Linked DNA regions of Canis lupus familiaris. The protein of the gene in region 2 purifies or fractionates together with the protein of the main gene of each other region. This does not show direct contact. Links are inferred from orthologs where the notes say so. Each region holds a gene or a part of one and is shown on either strand. Other genes may lie near its edges.

Evidence for each region. The genes of interacting proteins can lie anywhere in the genome.
Region 1: the proteins of SIRT1 (region 2) and FOXO3 purify together in Homo sapiens (affinity purification with western blotting; 4 studies listed by BioGRID and IntAct, with this or other methods). This does not show direct contact. The link is inferred for Canis lupus familiaris from reciprocal best matches to the Homo sapiens genes SIRT1 and FOXO3.

What each region holds. Positions count from the first base shown.
Region 1 is NC_049233.1:65,900,849-65,905,022, forward strand, and holds the start of FOXO3 (forkhead box protein O3), read left to right. Parts: upstream 1-1,374; 5' UTR 1,375-1,389; coding exon 1,390-2,004; intron 2,005-4,174. UniProt on the Homo sapiens protein: Transcriptional activator that recognizes and binds to the DNA sequence 5'-[AG]TAAA[TC]A-3' and regulates different processes, such as apoptosis and autophagy.
Region 2 is NC_049225.1:19,900,459-19,904,738, forward strand, and holds the start of SIRT1 (NAD-dependent protein deacetylase sirtuin-1), read left to right. Parts: upstream 1-1,480; 5' UTR 1,481-1,498; coding exon 1,499-1,916; intron 1,917-2,192; exon of another isoform or gene 2,193-2,211; intron 2,212-3,707; coding exon 3,708-3,824; intron 3,825-4,280. UniProt on the Homo sapiens protein: NAD-dependent protein deacetylase that links transcriptional regulation directly to intracellular energetics and participates in the coordination of several separated cellular functions such as cell cycle, response to DNA damage, metabolism, apoptosis and autophagy.

The DNA of each region.
Region 1 (4,174 bases), on a different chromosome or scaffold from region 2:
GCTGACAGGCGGGTCCTCGGGCGGGCTGCGGCGGCGGCGGCCGGAGCGCCTCTCGGTGGCCGGGGTTGCGCGCCCCCTCCTCGCCGCGCCCCGGGCCCGCGCGGAGTCGTGCGTCCTCCCCCCTCGTCCCTGAAGGGAAGCAACCGAGGTAGGCGCCGGAGCTGTGCAGCGGGGCGGTCGCCTTCCCGGTGACTCCGGATCTGCTTCCGAGCCGGGCCAGGCGCTTCCCTTTTCCCTCCCCGTGACTCGGTGTGCGCGCCCCCCTTTCCCTCCCGCTGCTGTTTTTAAAGGACTTGAGTGAAGGGGGGAAAACTGTCAAGATGGCAGCAGCGGGAGCAAGGAGGTGATGAACGTGCGGGTCCGGGTTTTCTGGCAGCCCGGGAGACTTGGCGCTTCCTGACCTGTTGGAAGATTTACGTTCCGACTCGCCCCCTCCCCCTGCCCTTTCCCGGGAAGGGGGGTGGGTGGGGGGGTGCGGGGTCCAACGCCCGCCCGCAAACCGAAGCACACAAAACCCCAAAGTGGTCGTTCCCGCTTGGCTCGACCCTTTGCAAACACCCGCCGAGCTGCTTGCCCCCCGCCCCGCCCCGCCCCTACCCCCACCCCCGATCCTCCCCTCCTCGCTTCCCGTCTGGTCTTTTTTTTTTTTTTTTCTTTTCTGGAAGTGACAAGAGCCCGTCCGCGCCCGGACCCACGTTCGTCCTCCTGGCCCCGCGCCGCCCCCCGGAGCCCGGGCCCCTGGCCCCTGGGCGCGGAGAGCGGAGTCCACGGGGGCGCGGGGGCGGCGGGCGCGGGGCGCGGGGCGCGGGGCGGAGCGGAAGGCGCCGCGGGAAGCACCCGCGCGGGGCCCGAGCGAAACATAAACAAACGCACGCCCGCCCCGGCTCCGACCGCGGCTCGGCTGCGCCAGCCCCGGCCGCTGCCCGCTTTAAAGGCGCGGCCCGCGCCCCTCCCCCGCCCCGCCCCTCCCCCTCCTCCCCGCCCCGCCACCTCGCCCGGGAGAGACCTGCCGAGCCGGCGGCCCCGCGCGAGCGCGTCCATTCGCTCCCGGCTCCCCGCGGCCTGGCAGGGGGCGGTGTCTGCTGCGCCAGGTCCGCGGGACGCACGTCTCCAGGTCTGCCTGTCTCCGGGAGGCGGCGGCGGCGGCGGCGGCGGCGGCGGCGGGCGCGGGGTGGCCGAGGGCTGGGCTGCCGCGCGGGTAACCAACTCTCTCCTCCGTGCTTCCCCAGGCGGCGGCAGGAGCGGCAGCGGCTCCCGGGAGCCCGAGCCTCCGCGGCGCCCCCGGGCCTCCCCCGCCGCACCCCGCCCCGGCGCGAGAGCGGAGCGCGAGAGCCCGAGAGCCCGAGAGCCCGAGAGCCCGAGCCGCGGGCGGGCGGGCGGGCGGGGAAGATGGCAGAGGCGCCGGCCTCCCCGGGCCCGCTCTCCCCGCTCGAAGTGGAGCTGGACCCCGAGTTCGAGCCCCAGAGCCGGCCGCGCTCCTGTACGTGGCCCCTGCAGAGGCCGGAGCTGCAGGGGAGCCCGGCCAAGCCCTCGGGGGAGACGGCCGCCGACTCGATGATCCCCGAAGAGGACGACGACGACGACGACGAGGACGGCGGTAGGGCCGGCTCGGCCATGGCGCTCGGCGGCGGCGGGGGCGGCGCGCTGGGCTCCGGGCTGCTCCTCGAAGACGCGGCCCGGCTGCGGGCTCCCGGGGGGCAGGACCCCGGGGCCGCGCCGGGCCCCGCGGCGGGCGCGCCGAGCGGGGGGACCCAGGCGCCGCCGCAGCCTCCGCAGGCGCTGGCCCCGCCGCAGCCGGGGGCGGCCGGGGGCTCGGGGCAGCCGAGGAAGTGCTCGTCGCGGCGCAACGCCTGGGGCAACCTGTCCTACGCCGACCTCATCACTCGCGCCATCGAGAGCTCGCCCGACAAACGGCTCACTCTGTCCCAGATCTACGAGTGGATGGTGCGCTGCGTGCCCTACTTCAAGGATAAGGGCGACAGCAACAGCTCGGCGGGGTGGAAGGTGCGTACCCACCCCGGGCGGGCGGCCGGACCCGCCGGGCCTCCTGCGCAGGGCGACGCGCGCCTGCATCCCGCGGAGCGCGCCCGCGGGCGCCGGGAGAGGGGTTGGCAGCGAGCGCCTCCGCTGTGAGGTTTCGGGGGAACCCGTGCGACCCCCCTCCCCTCCCCTCCCCTCCCCTCCCCTCCCCGGAGGAGGGGAACCTGGGGTCGGCCGCGGAGGGTGGGGCGGGAAAGGAGGCGCCCCCCCACCCCGGGGAGGCCTCGGGCATGGCCAGGTGAGGAGGAGGAGGAGGAGGAGGAGGAGGAGGAGGAGAGGGGGCAAGGGATGCCGGCGAGGGAAGGACCGGCGGACGGCAGAGCCTTTGCTGGATCCCCGGGACGGCACGGAGGAGGTAGGTCTGCGGCCAACTTCGAAGCAGGAATCACCGTCGTGGGGATGCGGGGAAGGCCCCGCGGGTGCAGTGAGAGGACGTGGGGGAGTGCTTGGGGCTCCTCCGGGGAAGGGGATGGATTTGTGCTTTGCAGTGCATGGTCGTCGTCGTTAGAGCTGCATGAGAAAAAAAAAACCCCTTGCGTCGAAGTTTCTGGCTTGTGGGTGTTGGTTCCCGCAGGCACAGCGATCCCATTAAAAAAAGCAGTGGTTGCAAACCTTTTTTTTTTTTTTTTTTTTTTTCCCCTGGCTGCCTTTCTTTTTCTTTCTTTCTTTTGGTTGCCTGTGTGGACACCTTTACTCCTTAGAGATGTTTCTGCAGTAAATCTGTCCCCCCCCCCCCGCCCCCCAACTTGGGATGTTTCGAGTCCCGGAGCGGGCCAGCCCTGCCACCTGAAGGACTGGCCACACCTGCTGCTCCCGCCGAGGCCTGGACTCCGGCGCTGTTTGAGGCCCGGTCCAGGTGTGGAGGGCTGAGGCCTGGAGCTTCACCTAGGCCTTTGGGAGGGAGGTGTGGTGGCGGGGCTGGGTCATAATGGCTTCTGCCTATAAATGAGCCAGAAGAGAGGCTCTCTACTGTTCCTTTTCAGCCTCTCGGGGCACTGGACACGTGGTAGGAGAGAGGTGTGGAAAGGCCTATGATGTAATGACTTCCTGCAGTTGGGCATCCAAACAGATTAACTCCTGTGCCCCTGCTGGGCTGCTGATACCCAGCTGCTTTGCTCTTCCTGGCACCTCATCCTCCTGGCCTCTTTCCCCAAGACGTGAATGTGTCAGTACCAGGCAGAAGGGTGCTTGCAGTTGGAGATACATATGGCTTATCAGTTGCTTCTCTTTGCAAGTTAGCTTTTTTTTTTTTTAATTAATGAGGTAGTTCCTTCCTCATTTTGTCCTTTCCTTACTGTCTTTGGGGAGCCCTGTATCTTCTTGGGTTCCAGTAGGTGTATTCAGTAAGAATAGTTTAATCTTGGTGGAGCACTGGAGAGGAACCTATATGTGAAAAAACTAAAGAATTTTGTGTATTGTCTTCATTTCCTTAAAAAAAAAAAACCCAAAACAAAACCCTTACAAAGTATCTGTTTTTTTTTTTTTTTAATTTCATATTGGCTAGTATTGGAGAGGACTTGCTGAGATACTTTAAAAGCAAAACTGTGCTTTAAAATTATTCCACATATCTGTCCCCTTTCCTTTAACAAATGCTGACATTATGAATCTTACATTTGCTCTAATTTTACAGCTTTGCAAAGGAATGCCAGTTGTGTGATATGAGGGCCATTTACAGAAAGCTTGAGAGTGAATAGCATTTCGAGGAAGTGCTACTGTGATATCTTTTAAAACAGAGTTTCAAAGTGAATAGCAAGGGTTAATCTCAAGGTACAGCATCAGAAAGGGGGGAGTTGCAGGATCTAAGAAAATGGATATAGGGGTTTGGAATATTTTTCAAATTTCTCAGCTTGAAATTAGTCCTGTATATTTTGAGTTTGCTGCAGAGAACTGCTAGTTAAAAGTTAGCTAACTTTTAACTTATAAAGTTAATGTTGGAAGGGTTTTCACTTTCCCTCTGATTTTTAAGTGTATGCGAGTAGTTCATAATCTTGCAAATAACATCTCTTGTTATTGTATTTAGAGTTAAATAACTTTTTTCTTTAACATCTAGGTGAGAAAGTAGTATTATCAAAAGTCGCCTTGAAACGTAACTCAGTTATATTTTCATGTAGCTTGCAGGACTTCCAGTAGAGAT
Region 2 (4,280 bases):
ATTAAATGTGTCCTGCAATCCTTTTTAAAAAAAGCCTTGGTCCATTCTGAAAGATCAACATTGAATTTTTAAAAATCAAAAGAAAAGTTTTTTCCCACAAAAATACACGAAGAACCACTTGCTGGCATTTATATTTTGAGTGCCTGGGATAACAGGCCGGTGTTCAAAGGCAGTTCATAACAGGTTGTACCAGGACTCGTTGCATCTGATTTAGCACCAAGTAAGAGTAAATATCCCACTGAAGATGTAGCTGATTTTTTCATCCACCTCTCATCGCCCCACTCTTCCTGCCTTTTTTTCCTTTAGATAGTTCTAATGCCACACTGCACAGGTGGTAGATGCCCTACCAAACATTGGCTCTAGATCTGCCATGTATTATTGGAGTCTTTAGTTAAGACTAGATGTAGAGTGACAGTGCTCTGGAATTTCAGGAAAGTGGAAAGTAGAAGGGCTTCTAGTATGCAAGGAACTTCATTCATTCATTCATTCATTCATTCATTCAGGGACTGGTATTTTTGAGCTACTCCTCACTTTACATCTATCTTCTAGCTTATCAGTATAGGTCTTACAACCCTACAAATGTTACCATTTTAAAGATGAGAACATTGCCTATAGAAAGGCTAAATTGCTCATGCTAGTAGGTGAGAATCTCAAATTCCAACGCAAAGTCCCAAGCGTAGACCCGCCAAGTCATCATGTTCATTCTGCTCTTTGCGAATGGCCCACTTGACCCGATGCGTTCAGAAGGAATTCAAGACACCTTTGCAGCCCAGGTGGTGCCAGAAAACAAACAGGCTGATCCCCGGCGCCCCAGGTCAGGGGTTTTCAGGGGGAACACATGCCTTTAAGGATGACAATTCACACCACCCTACAAGTGATGGGGCTGGGGGGGGGGCAGTCAGCTAGAGACAGGAGCAAGAAGTAGGAAGAGGAGCCAAGAGGAGCTGTCACATTGGTGTGAGGATGAGGAGTGAAGTCTTTTATCCTCCACTTAGGCTGGTGGACACGACTATCCAGCGTGCGAAGCTCGGCCTGGGCCAGCTTCATTCCTCATCGTTTCTCAGGAACTAAGTTTTAACCCTTTACCTTAAACCTGGAAAAGACTAAAGCAAGCGAGCCGTGCGCTTCAGACTTCAGCGGAAACTCGCAGGGGGAACCAAAAACTTGGGCCGGCCGGGCGACAGCGACGCGAGGCCGGTTTCGAAGAGCGGCCGGGAGCCGGGCGAGCGCGGCGGCCGGACGCGCCTGCCGCAGAGGGTGGGTGGGGCCGCGCTTCCTCCCAGCCCACGCCGCCTCCGCCCGCCACGTGACCCGCCGTGTTGTGGTCCGGCCCGCGTGGGTGGCGGGAGCGGCGGGAGGGCGGGAGGGCGGGGGCGACGGGGCCGGGTCACGTGACGGGGTTTAAATCTCCCGCAGCCGGAGCCGCGGGGGCGCCAGTGCCGCGAGTCGAGCGGGAGCAGAGGAGGCGAGGGAGGAGGGCCAGAGAGGCAGTTGGAAGATGGCGGACGAGGCGGCGCTCGCCCTTCAGCCCGGCGGCTCCCCCTCGGCGGTGGCGGCCGAGAGGGAGGCCGCGTCGCCGCCCGCCGGGGAGCCACTCCGCAAGAGGCCGCGGAGAGACTGTCCTGGCCTGGGGCGGAGCCCAGGCGAGCCCGGCGGGGCGGCCCCTGAGCGGGAGGTGCCGGCGGCGACCGGGGGCTGCTCCGCGGCGGCCGCGGCGCTGTGGCGGGAGGCGGCGGCGGGCGGGGAGCGGGAGGCCCAGGCGGCGGCGGCGGCGGCCGGAGAAGGAGACAATGGGCCGGGCCTACAGGGCCTCTCCCGCGAGCCGCCGCCGGCCGACGACTTCGACGACGACGACGACGACGACGAGGGCGAAGAGGAGGAAGAGGCGGCGGCGGCGGCGGCGATTGGGTACCGAGGTGCGCAGGGCGCGGGCGGCTGGGACTGCGCATCCCCTCCTCCCTCTCTGGGGCCCCTTGCGGTGTAGGGCTTTGGGGGCTCCGGGGGGCGGGCTGGGGGCTCAGGTCTGGCCTGCGGCGCCCCCTTCCCACCGCGGGCCTCGGCTGCGCTCCTCCCCGGCTGCCGGCGGGGCTGCGGGAGCGGCCCGCGCACCCCCTCCCTCCGCTCCCTTTTTCCCTCCCTCCGCCGCCCGCCTGCGCGGCTTTGCGCTTTGCGCAGCCGCCGGGCCGCGAAGCTCCCGCAGTTGGTTTTAAAGTAAGTTTCTCTCTCCTCCTACTCTCTTAGCTTATTGCCTTTGTTTAACATCTTTCGCTTTTCCGTATCCCCGCTTCCTTGCACACGTAAGTCTGCAACTTTTGCCCGTCCCTTTTCATCAACCTTTTGCAGTTGTCTTTGCAAACTGATACACCTGTGCAATTCACGGCTTTTTTTTTTTTTTTTGAGGGCCTTTATTTTTAAATTTTAAGGAGCAAAGCTATTTCTAAAGTCATAACCCACAAAATTTGAGAAGCATCGCTAAATTTCTGAAATGTTGCAATGAATGCGTATTGGGAGACTGATAGTACTTTAAGACTAGTAAAGTAGGCTTTTTTCTTTTCTTTTTTTAAAACATAAGATTGTATTTATTCATGAGAGAGAGAGAGGCAGAGACATAGAGGGAAAAGCAGGTTCTCTGCGGGGAGCATGATGGGATCCCAGGACCCCGGGATCACGACCTGAGCAGGTTCTCTGCGGGGAGCATAGGGGATCCCAGGACCCCGGGATCACGACCTGAGCCAAAGGTGGACTCTCCACCAACTGAGCCATCCAGGCGCCCCAATAGTACTTTTTTTTCCTAATTATATATACTTAGAATGTTTTTTAGATTAGATATAATTTTGCGTGTATGTGCGTATCTGATAACCCTGAAACACAAACTCATTTTTGTTGTTGTTGTTATGTTAAAGCAGATGTGTTAGTTGTGTATGTCATATCATCTTTGAGAGTTTTCATATTTTTCAGTCTGAGGAGTTTCTGTCGTGAATGTTCGTCTTTACCAGTAAATTCAATCTGGAGCATTTGATCATAGAAGTGCATTAAGTTCTTGATTAGTAAATCACTTATTGATTTCTGTAAACAGTTTAATATGGGAAACGAATAATGCAAATATATCTTTGGAAGTCTAGTATTATGTAAGAGAAGGGCAAATAATTGTCATGAATTTGAATGATTTCTGTTACATTTTTGACCAGTTTCATGAATTCCCATTACTTGTGATCAATAAGTTCAGTTTAGATTACCACTCTGTGTTTTGATTAAGTAAACCTAACTTATTCCTAGATTTTCATGAGCTGAAAGTTTTAAGATTCGGTGCAGAATGTGTAAAGATGTGCATATATGGCTCTTAGAATGGTGCAAGCTGACCCAGTAGGAAGTTTTTAACCTAGGTACTATGAATGAATGTTCAGTGGTTTATTCAGTGAAAGTCATTGCATCATAACTGTTACAGATTTGTATACATTTTATTTTATTTTATTTTATTTTTAAAGATCTTATTTATTCATGAGAGAGAGAGGCAGAGACACAGGCAGAGGGAGAAGCCGGCTCCTTGCAGGGAGCCCGACGTGTGGGACTCGATCCCGGGTCTCCAGGATCACGCCCTGGGCTGAAGGTGGCGCTAAACCGCTGAGCCACCCGGGGTACCCAGATCTGTATACATTTTAGAGGCAGATTGTTTCATCAGCCTTTAGTTACTTTGGTTTCTTTTGCAGATAACCTTCTGTTTGATGATGAAATAATCACCAACGGTTTTCATTCCTGTGAAAGTGATGAGGATGATAGAGCCTCACATGCAAGCTCTAGTGACTGGACTCCAAGGCCCCGGATAGGTACGGTTTCAGAGCTTTAGAGAATAATGTCTTTTTCTTTTTTGTATTTTTTTATGTCAATTAAAAATAGTTTTCTGTACCCTTATAACTTGATGAGGTTTTTAGGTGCTTCTTGAGATTTAGTGTCAGCTTGTGTTTCTACGGAAGGTCTAGTACTTTGTTCTTTTTGGTTTTAAACAGTTTAAGCCCCTGGAAGCTGGCCTCTGGTATTTCTCAATCAGGTCCTTCTCACACCACCAGTTCTTTTCACTTGTACCTCTCTGTGTGGAGTGCTTTTTCTCCAGCGTATCTTGCACTCTCTCAATTCAAGTCTGTTTTTTTTCTTTTCCTTAATACTTAATCACTTTTTTTTTAAGATTTTATTTCTTTATTCGTGAAAATACACAGGAGAGAGAGAGGCAGAGACACAGGCAGAAGGAGAAGCAGGCTTCATTCAGGGAGCCTGACATGGGACTC